3 linked regions of the Xenopus tropicalis genome follow. The protein of the gene in region 3 purifies or fractionates together with the protein of the main gene of each other region. This does not show direct contact. Links are inferred from orthologs where the notes say so. Each region holds a gene or a part of one and is shown on either strand. Other genes may lie near its edges. The genes, in order: rela, btf3 and ctnnb1.

Region 1 (3,654 bases), on a different chromosome or scaffold from region 3:
TTTGATTCCAACTAAGATATAATTAATACTTATTGGAGGCCAAACAATCCTATTGAGTTTAAATGATGTTTAAATTATTTTTTAGTAGACAGTAGATCCATTACAGAAAGATCCCTTATCTGGGTCCCGAGTATTCTGGATAACAGGTCCTATACGTGTATAGGACATTTTACTTGCTGCATTTTTATCAGATACAAATGATAGGAAAGCTTTGTGTGTTATTGACACTGAACAACTTAGGGCTCAGGCACACGGGAAGATTAGTCGCCTGCGGCAAAACTCCCTGTTCGCGGGCGACTAATCTCCCTGAGTTGCCTTCCTCTGCCATGCCATCGGCAACAATGTAAGTCGCCGGTGGGGCGATTTCGGGAAATCGGCGGAAAAGACTCGCGAGTCTTTTTCGGCGGTTTGCGCGAAATCGCGCCACCCCGTCTGCCATCCCGCCGGCGACTTACATGTTCGCCGGTGGGATGGCAGGGGAAGGCAACTCGGGGAGAGTTGCCTTTTAGTTACTGCTGACAATGAAAGTACAGGTTATAGCAGTGATCCCCAACCAGTGGTTCGTGAGCAACATGTTGCTCCCCAACCCCTTGGCTGTTGCTCCCAGTGGCTGCAAAGTAGTTTGCCATTTTTGAATTTCTGGCTTGGGGGGCAAGTTTTGGGTGCATAAAACCCAGTGTAAAGCCAAACAGAGCCTTCTGTAGGCTCCCAGTCCACATAGGGGCTACCAAATAGCCTATTATAGCTCTTATTTGCATCCACAGGAACTTTTTCCATGCTTGTGTTGCTCCCACAAATGGAAACACTTTTTCCATTTGAATGTGGCTCACAGATATAAAAGGTTGGGGATCCCTGGGTTATAGGATCTATTATCCAGAATGCTTGAGACTGGGGTTTTGTGGATTAGGGATCCCAGCAGTTGCTTTAGATAGTAGACTGTGTCCACTTTAACATATATTAGTTTGTTTGCTTCCAGCTTGTCAGTATATATTCTTTCTGGTTTTACTCCCATTGCACAGGCACAGTCATGCCTTCCTCCCACCCACATGTGGAAATTATAGAACAGCCAAAACAGCGAGGGATGCGATTTCGTTACAAGTGTGAAGGCCGCTCTGCTGGAAGCATTCCAGGTGAACGAAGCACTGACACAACAAAAACTCATCCCACTATTAAGGTCAGTGCATATAGTTTTCTACTTGATCTTCTTAGTAAGTTCATTGTGTTCTACTAAATAGCAAATCATCCACAAAATGGCATGAATGAACACATTCAGTGTGGGTGTGCAGCATTCTGCAGGAGGTAGTCTGCCTTGAAAGAACCTTGAAGATAAGAAAGTTAGTGGGGTGGGGGTTGTTGAACTAGGGCCTGCAGCTTAAAGTATGAGGCTGCAGGTTTTGGGAAGGGACCCAGCAGTCTTGTGCTTAAATCCATTTCTGTTGAAAAACTGTGGGTCTTTTACATGACTTTATGGTTATGCAGATTCTGTTAAAATATGCCAGCCAAAATCCTTATGAAGTTACATTATTTTTCTGAATGCTGGGAGGTATTTAAGTTATCTATTATCTTGTAAATAAATCTTATAAAAAATTAGAAACTAAAAAAAGAAAATAGAATAGTTCTATCAGCAAAATGGATTACTGCAGTTTAGTTATCATCAAGTACAAGGTAAAGTGTAATGCCAGAGTTGTTATTTGGGCTGCTGTAACCAGGATTGCTTTGCTTCTAGAGCCAAATAGCACAAAAATACCGGCACAACAGGACTTGTTTAAAGGAACAGTAACACCAAAAAATGTATATATTTCAAAGAAATTAAACTATAATGTACTGCTGCCCTGCGCTGGTAAAAGTTTTGTGTTTACTTTAGAAACATTACTAGAGCTTATATAAACCCTGGTGTGTAGCCAAGGGGGCAGCCATTCAAAAGAAGAAAAGGCACTGGTTATATAGCAGCTAACAGATAAACCCTGTAGAATACAATGGTGTCTTATCTGTTATCTGCTATGGAACCTCTGCCTTTTCTCCTTTTTTCCAGCTTGAATGGCTGCCCCCATGGCTACACAGCAGCTTATTTATATAAACTATAGTAGTGTTCCTGAAGCAAACACCCCAGTTTTACCAGTGCAGGGCAACAGTACATTATATTTCAATTACTTTAAAACACTTGAATTTTTTGGTGTTACTGTTCCTTTAAGCAGGATAAACCCTGCTTATTTTTAATAGTAGCAAACCATGTACATGGTTTGCTACTATTAAAAATCAGCAGGGTTTATCCCACTTAAACAAGTCCTGTTGTGCCGGTATTTTTGTGCTATTTGGATCGTGGTGGAGAGTGCCGAAGTCTCTCTAAATACTGTGCACCAGGTGGAACAGAGTGGAAAGGCCAGGGTGTGCTGGTGAGCGTGGTTTGATTTACTTCTAGAGCTCCATCCTCGGGGCAATGGGTGCTGGGATTGGCATTACTGCATGACAGAATTTGGTGACTCTCCGTATCACTTGATCTTTGGAGAAAAAAAAAAACATATCACCACATTAAACAGGTGGTTCACATTTAAAGTGTTGGACTGGCCCACAGGGATAACAGGAAAATTCCCGGTTGGCCCACTGGGCAAATGGCTGCTTCTAGCGATTTGGCCTAATTCAGGTCCATTGCTTATTTTTCTATGGGAACAAAGCAACTAAATATATAGAAGAATAGATTATAGTATATAAAGATAAAAAAAAACTAGGAAAATATAGAGATTGAGTAAGAAGTGGAAAAAAATTGTTTGGAGAGTAGGCCTATGGTCTAAGGTTTTCTAGTGGGTCCCTGGCATCCCAGTCCAACACTGTAAATTTACATTAACTTTTAGTATGTTATAGGATGTTTATTCCTAGAAACTTTTCAGTTGGTCTCCATTATTTTTCATAGTTTAATGATTTGCATTCCTCTCCCTCTTTCCAGCTTTCAAATGGGGGCCACTGACCCGAAAGCCAAAAGCTATTGCCCTCTGAGACTATAATTTTATTGTTTTATTATTTGTCTTCCTATTAAGACCCTTTCCTTTTTCGTATTCCAGTCTTTCATTCAAACTACTGCCTGGTTGCTGGGGATTCTAGCAACCAGATAGCTGCTTAAATGCCAAACTGGAGACCTGCTGGGAAAAAAATTAAGAACAAATGCAGATTGTCTCAGCGTATCAATGTCTACAGCAAACTAAAAGTTAATTTAAAAGGTGAACTACCCCTTTCTTATTTTGTAGAGTGAACTTTTGCAACAATAACCGCTTTAAGCCATTTAAAGGTAATATGTTCCACTGTATTTATTGTGCATTGTTAAAGTAGCCTTACACTACTTATTTGGCGAGGTCGCCAAGCGAGCAGATCTTTTCCTGATATGCCATCCCTAGGGCCAACAATCGAATTGCAATAGCAGACATAGACGCCTTCTGATCGGAGACCGCATCAACGAGCCGATGTGCTCCCTGATCTGACAGAAAATCAAGCCTGCCTGATCGAGATCTGCCCAATTTGAGGCCAGATATCCATCGGGTAGGCATCGGGGTGCAGATAAGCTGCCGAACCGGTTTGGACCAGAATCGGCAGCTGAAATCGGCCTGTGTATGGCCCCCTTTAGACTTCACTTGCAAACAGTGTGCAAAGCTCATAAATACTCAC
Region 2 (3,481 bases), on a different chromosome or scaffold from region 3:
CTGTTGTCATTCTTTAACTATTAATCTGATGGTCCCTAAACTTTGCAGTTAGTCACTGGGTAACTGCAGTTCCAAGTTAGAAAAATTGCCAATTAGATGTCACTCATTGACTTTAAATTGCTGCCAGACACTATTAAATCCAGGGTCCCCAAACTTTGCAGTGGTTTTTACTATATAACTTTGGTCCAAGGTTAGAAAAAGTGGGTGAAGCCAACAACAGATCAGATTTCATTCAGTGACTTCAAGTTTTTCAAACCAACATGAAGTTTGTTTTCAAATTTCCCTTTCTAGTTTGTATTTGCCCTTATTCCAACATCTTTGATTTACACTCTATGCTCTTCTCACTTGTTGACCCCTTTTGTTACACCACTTCAGTGTGGTGCGACACTTATTGTCTAACCCTATAACTTTTTCTGCAGTAGTCATGCAAATATTTTCTTAGTTATAATCCCAACCTTATGTTTCTGCATGGCACTAAAGTCAGATGTGCTTAACCCCTTACATGCAATAGATCATAACATCTATGGTGCTAGTACTGACAGTGCCAGAGCCTTAGATTCTACATATAGGTTTCCAACCAAGTAACTTTTTTTTCAACAAAGCTAATGTATACAAAACGCAATTCCTATTAAGTTTATTCTTTATTCATTTACATTTTAATTTCCAGGACTGTTCACTTTATGTGGCTGCAAAGGCAAATTATCTGATGAATGCAGTTACTGCAGAGCTGCTATAGAAAGAATTTCAAATCTGTGGGGCTTTTAATCTCAAAGGTCAAAAGAAAACAACAAAAAACCACACACAAAGGCAATGCAGTCACAATATAAAATAGGAGCTCCGTCAGCTTTTCAAGTTTTGTTCCTTTTAGATATTTTTCATTCAGACCGATTCATTCTTTGAAGCCTCATCAAAGTTCTCAACCAGTTCTGCAAAAAGGATGGGGGAAAAAAAAAAAAAAAAAAGATTAGCAAACAGCCGTGATTACAACAAATCTCACACCGATTTGTGACTCCAGCAGCAGGCACATAGAATTCATAACTAAATCCAAACAGCCCCACAGCAGTACTAACCACTCAACCATCCCCATAGGTAAATATTTGCATTACTAGGCATAGTAAATATCTACAAATATCCAGTTTAAAAATAAATCTCAAATAGACTATAGTGTAACCAAGGTTAGCAAATACAATAAAACATTGGATATGCCTATGTCTTACCTGGTACTTCATCATCTTCTTCCTCCCCAGAAGCTAGTGGTGCTTTCCCATCCACAGCTGAAAAAACAAATTAAAAAATAAGTGTACTAATTATAGTCAGTCTACAACTGAAAGGGCACCCAGTCTCCACATGATGTGAATAACTACTCTCCATATGGCTTAGCTGGCCACACCATTAGCAAGTGAGGGCTGGTAAGAAATGTGTAATTATAGGGGGGCCTAACTACAAATAAACATAGATACATCACAAACATCAATAGGCAGGCACTTCCCGGAGTGCCTGCCTATTGATGTTTGTGATGTATCCATGATGGCTCCCTCTAGCTGAAAGTCTGGGGCATGAGCACCTGGGCCCAACTATACTACGGGTGAGATTTGATGTAAACTCTCTCTTATGAGCATATGTATCCCCTTATTCTTGTTTTACAAATAAACATACATGAGGTCCAACCCCACAAGCTTTCAGCTATCAGGGGCAATGCTAGGTATTGTAGCATGTAAGCAAATAAATATAGTTTGTTGGGGCAAATATCTTGTTCTGCTTTGCCCTAAAACTGATAGCCTTTGTAGTGACAAATTTAAATAGGCAAGAACAGTTATCTTATAAACACTTTTTTCTGCTTTCATAACTTGCACATTATGCCCATACTGAAAATGGGGGTCTGAGATGTTATGTAACCTGCTATGTAGCAAGCCAGAGAAGTTGCAGCATTCCATGATTGTGCCATATTAACTTATTTTATCAAGAAAATACACAGACAACTGACAGAGTAAAGATGTTGGGCAGAATGAGATGCCAGATATGTCAGGCTCCAGGGTTTACTAAGAAACAGCAAACATCGCGGGATAGGGCCGATTGTTGGTGAATGTTAGAGAGATTGCTCAGCTTGTTCAAATTTCAGAAAAAGAAAATTAACACCATGATGTTGTCTAAAAGAAAAGAATGAACTGGCAGGGGCAAAATCTGGACAAAAGTGCATATCCATGCCATGGTGTTAGTACATTGGTAAGCAAGAAAAGCTAAACTGAGAGGCAGCGCTTAATCTGTCATTAAATCATTTGCTACATGTAGAACCCATCAATTAAGGACTGTACATTTTTACATTTATACCTATATTGACTCCCATAACCACACAGTATCTTGCAGTCCTAGAACCAAAATTTACTGCAGAGAAAGCAAAGCAAACAGAAGGTATCCTAACATTGTTCCTCTACTTAGCCAAACTGGCTAATACATTTCAGAGGGAGGTTACTTACATTGTTTAGGCAAGGCCTCTGCAAGTCTCCGCAAGCTGGTAAGGCTGTCTGCTCCAAGCTGATTTAAAATGCTGGGCAGCATCTCCGTAAGCTGCTTGGTCTCAGCATGCCCAGTAATGGTAAATGTGTTGGCAGCCAAGGAAGCCTGGACTTTGGGGTTGTTAAAGTGAATAACTGTTCCTTGGTTTGTAAACATATTCACCTGTAAACAAAAAACTAATTTGAACAGACTTCCTAAAAGATAGTTTTCTTAAGAAAACACAGTCACCTTCTACCGTCAGCTTGTGATCCCATTACGTTAAAATATCATGCTATAGAAGATCCAGGATCTAGTTGCTAGGCATTTAACCTAGACTAAGCAACAGAAGTTTCAGTGGAATAAAAACAACATTTATTGGCTCAAATTAAACAATTCAACAAAAAGCAAACATATAAGATATACTATACCAGACAATGGATAGGTGCATCCCAGTGAATTGTTTACTTTGAGCCAATAAAAGTTTTTATTCCACTGAAACTTCTGTTGCTTATTCATATGTTGATTCGGGACCTATCAGTGGGATATAACTATTAGATTCTCTTTTTTAACCTAATTTGTTATTATTAAGTTGTCATTTAACCTAGACGTTGCATGTATCTGTGCTAAACACCCAGAAACCGAATACTTCACTGCTAGTGTGCACACAGAATCCAATGGCAGCAACGCAGACATTACCTCCTCTATGCCAGAGATGTTATTCACTCCAAGTTTTTTCAGAGAGAACTGCAGTTTCTTATCATCGGCAGTTGCTGTTCTGTGCACAACCTTCTTCTTTCTGCGGGCTGTCCCCTAACAAAAGCAAAAATCAAAAGAAGAAAATTTAGGGAAATGTTGAATAACTAACTGAAGACAGTGTACAGATAGTATACACCAAGTATATCACCAGCATAAAGAAAGATGCGAGTGACAGGCCCAGGTTATCTCAGCATTTACGATCATGACATTATAATGCAGTTAAGAATATTAA
Region 3 (3,754 bases):
GTGACTTTGGAGGGGGCAGGGCAAATGTACCCTCTCCTCTAAGCTTTGGTTTAATATTGAGCTCTGTTGCAGCACTTCAATCGTGCAGGACTCGTGTTACAATTCCAACGAAAGAGTTAATACTTCCCCCTCCTTTCTTTGTCTCCAACTCTGCCCTCATCGGGCTCCACATTCCAAGCCTAGGAGGAAAAAAAACAGCTCCGGCCGCATTTCCTACTGAGGATCATTCCGCGTTTAAGTCCTCCAATCCGCACAATGAGCAGGAATGAATCTCATCTCCGCCCAAACTGTTCGTCGCTTCCAAAACCTGACACAAAAACTTTTTAATGCTTAATTCAGTAACACCCATGCCTGTGACAATTGCCACTATATCGCCATTAACTAACTTACGCTTCCGTACATACACAAACCATTAACAGTTGGGTGGCGAATTGCATCTTTAGGTTTACAAGAAACATTTATGCACCAGCTCTACTCGAACGTATCTGCATATTTCATGCGGAGCATATGATAGTATTACAATTGCCCTTTTAGTATTTTCCGCAGCTCTGTATACAACAACCTAGGGAGGGCATTTGCTTTGGGGAAGAACTATTTTTTATATTTCCTTCTGAATCACTCCGCCCACGCCCCGTTTATGAGACCTTTTCCTGCCGCCGAAGCCCGCGGAAGGATATTCACACGCGTATGTAATGCGACCCATATAAAACAAGGGTGTGCGGCGCCATTTTAAGCCTGTGTGTCGCGTTTCAAGCGAACGGGAGAGTAGTGCGTTTGTTCATGGCTGGGAACTGAAGGGGATCAGAAACATAAACGGGGAAAAGAAAATCAACGCTCTTGCCGCCATACCCCGTCCATCTTAAAGTGGGACACAATTCGGAACCTGCAGGGTCTGGAGGTGTGTAGGAGACGGCCAGTACCGGGCGAAACGCGGTGACGGCCGGAACCGGTGGACGTCGAGCCAACGGTAAGATACTGCAAATGTCTTTTTATTTTTTTTGTAGCTTCGGTGTCGCTATCGATTGTTACCGTACCTAGGAAGCTGCTTGGGGAGTGGTGGCATTTGTGGTTATGCAACAGCTGGGGAGCCACATGATGGAGGTTAACGTGGTCGGATCTGTTTGACTTGACTTGGCAGTGTGGTTAGTGCGTTTTTTTTATCTTTTAAGGATTGTGGGCAGGTACTGTACATGTCTGCGGTGTGGAACTTGCGGCCGCCTGGCCTCGTTGGGTAGAGCATTGTTTGGAGTTAAGGATCAGAAACAGGGCCGGAAGTTGGTTGTGTGTGTGTGCCTTTGTACTTGTCCCATAACTGTACTGCATAGTATTGTTGGTGTGTAGGGGGGTACCATACAGTCCTATTTAAGGAATCCCAATAGATACGTATCTAAACTACCCTTTCCATCTGCTTGTTGGCACCTTGTTTAAAAGCCGTCTTTGTGCGTCAGCGGGCTGGCCCTCTTTCCTTTGATTCTAGAACTTTTATAATGTGTGTTTTGGCATGGAGTGATGTGCTGAGTGCTTGCAGGTTCTACTGCTTTTGAGATGTGAGAACTAATGTGCAGGAATGGAGAATTCTATCCAGTGTATCAGATTCACGATGCGGGACATGTATAAATCCATACGTTGTTTTAGGGCAGCTTTGGGAATGTGTATATATTCCCCCTCCCTGAAACTCTCCCCTGTGTACTTAGTGTTTCAGTGATGGAGCTGTGAAATATGAGCCACTCTTGCAACTTTTTTTTTTCTATTCACTCCCTGTCTTGGCCTAGGGTGAGGCTCAGTCAAGCCAGGATATTCATCGCCCTTCCGCTTAGAATTAGTGTTTCCAGTGTTTTGTTGCAGCAGTAAGCTATAGTCATGGGCCCTACTATCCTATCGTTCCAGCTAATGTGTACAAGGTTTGGCTTCCTGTAAGAAACCTTGTACGTATTTGGGTTTAGATTTTAACTTGTGGGTGCCAAAACTTGTGATTTAATGCTAAGTTAAATGATCTATATTATAAATTAAGCAAATGTTACTGAAGTACAAACAATTGCCGCTTCCCATGGAGTAGGTAATGTGAGAGTAGCTCACTTGTGCCTTTCAGTGTGCAAATATGCAAACAAACACCCTCAAGCTGAAAAGTGTTTGTGGTGGAGCTTGGAGAAATTCAGGTTAGTGGGAGGTGGCATTAGGTGCTTTTTACTGGGATGAAATCTGCTCATGTGCTATAGTATTGGCTAACATGGCTTTAGTTGAGGTTTTGTTACATATCAAGGCTAGTCTCCAGGACATGGATTTTTCTTTCCCCCAACTCCATCTCCACCCTCTCCTGTCCTGAAAGTATGCAGGGTAGTGAATAGATTAGACTAGTCAGGAATGTGATCTTAAGAGAAAATGTGGTGCAGAAATTCCAGGCACTTAACACATTTCTAGCTGTTTTGTGCTGGGGCACGGCTCTTATTTGACAACTAACTAGACTAAATATCAACTTTAATACAGCTATGGCTTCCGATAAAAGCCACCTTCTCATGTTAAGCTATGGCAGTGTTTTGATTGTTTCTCAGTTGCAGCAGTCTGCGCACAAGTGGTGGTTTTGTTCCACCAGCTGCAGTAGGAAGGAAGGGCCTGCTGGCAATTCATGCATTGGGGCATTTGTGGCTTCCTCTCCAGTTAACAGTACAAATGTTTAGTGCAAGTATTGTAGCCGATGTGGTAGGGCAAATATTTGTAACTAGCCCGTTTTGGCACTAATGCAACTGCATGTTCAGAATGGTAGAGGATTTGTTTCCTTAAACAGTTCAGTAGGTGGGCAGTGTGCACTTTGCTCCCTCACCTGCCTTTGACATGGGAAGTATGTTTCCTTGATCTTGCAACTATCTTGAAAACATGCTGTTGCCCATTGGGAAATGGCCAATTGGACATGGGGGGGTCTTTCTGTTCACTGCTGCAAGAATCAAAGGTCCTAGTCGGTGACCTGTGTGCATTTCGGGTCGTAAGTCTACTTCCCCAGACAGTATCTCATGGAATTAGTATGTTCTTAATGTGTAGCATTTTTTTCTTAAGTTTCTTCTATGCTCCCAAGACAGGAAGGTTAATTGGCTCCTCCCCAGAGTGGGTGTATGGTAGGAACCATAGATCATGCTTCATTGGGGCAGGGAATGTTACTGTATAAGCTCTCTAGATTGCCATAGAACATGTTGGCTCTATATAAAGCATAATAGTGGTTTGTAGCTGCTAACTGGCAAAGACAGACACTTCATTGTTAACTGTGCGAGCAGCACTATCTGGTGTTAATAGGCCTTATGGAACAGTGCTTGCCTTTGCAGTGTCCTGGGAAATGACCAGTACAACTAACTATACTTTCTGTGTGAGCAGCAAAGTACTTCTATAAAAGCTGCATTAGTTTCCTTGCCAGGAAGTAAAAGTGCAGCTACCACTAAACATCAAATTTAAATGAAGCACTGTGGCGTGTACTAGCTGCTTTAAATGTTGTCCTTTTAGTCAAACTCCTGCAAAAAACTAGCCTTTGAAGTGTTAGCATGCAAATTCAATCCATGTGTGTTTGGGAGGAGCAGGGGTCTTTGGTTTGTAGGTTTGCCTTACTGCGTCAATGGCATATTACTTTACTGTTTAAGTAGGTAACTTTGTTCCATGTAAACTTAACATTATTGAAGCGATAGATGGACTTTCCCATGGGGTTTAAGTATGCTGTCATGTGTGTAACTAGATTTGTCTTCAGTGTTGCTAAGTGCAAGGAACTGCAGCCTGC

The links.
Region 1: the proteins of ctnnb1 (region 3) and rela purify together in Homo sapiens (co-immunoprecipitation; 3 studies listed by BioGRID and IntAct, with this or other methods). This does not show direct contact. The link is inferred for Xenopus tropicalis from reciprocal best matches to the Homo sapiens genes CTNNB1 and RELA.
Region 2: the proteins of ctnnb1 (region 3) and btf3 purify together in Homo sapiens (affinity purification with mass spectrometry; 3 studies listed by BioGRID). This does not show direct contact. The link is inferred for Xenopus tropicalis from reciprocal best matches to the Homo sapiens genes CTNNB1 and BTF3.

Annotation. Positions count from the first base shown.
Region 1 is NC_030680.2:38,471,525-38,475,178, forward strand, and holds part of rela (transcription factor p65), read left to right. Parts: intron 1-1,019; coding exon 1,020-1,174; intron 1,175-3,654. UniProt on the Homo sapiens protein: NF-kappa-B is a pleiotropic transcription factor present in almost all cell types and is the endpoint of a series of signal transduction events that are initiated by a vast array of stimuli related to many biological processes such as inflammation, immunity, differentiation, cell growth, tumorigenesis and apoptosis.
Region 2 is NC_030677.2:183,322,911-183,326,391, reverse strand, and holds the end of btf3 (transcription factor BTF3), read right to left. Parts: intron 3,304-3,481; coding exon 3,190-3,303; intron 2,677-3,189; coding exon 2,475-2,676; intron 1,275-2,474; coding exon 1,218-1,274; intron 927-1,217; coding exon 880-926; 3' UTR 623-879; downstream 1-622. UniProt on the Homo sapiens protein: When associated with NACA, prevents inappropriate targeting of non-secretory polypeptides to the endoplasmic reticulum (ER).
Region 3 is NC_030682.2:53,356,888-53,360,641, forward strand, and holds the start of ctnnb1 (catenin beta-1), read left to right. Parts: upstream 1-907; 5' UTR 908-967; intron 968-3,754. UniProt on the Homo sapiens protein: Key downstream component of the canonical Wnt signaling pathway.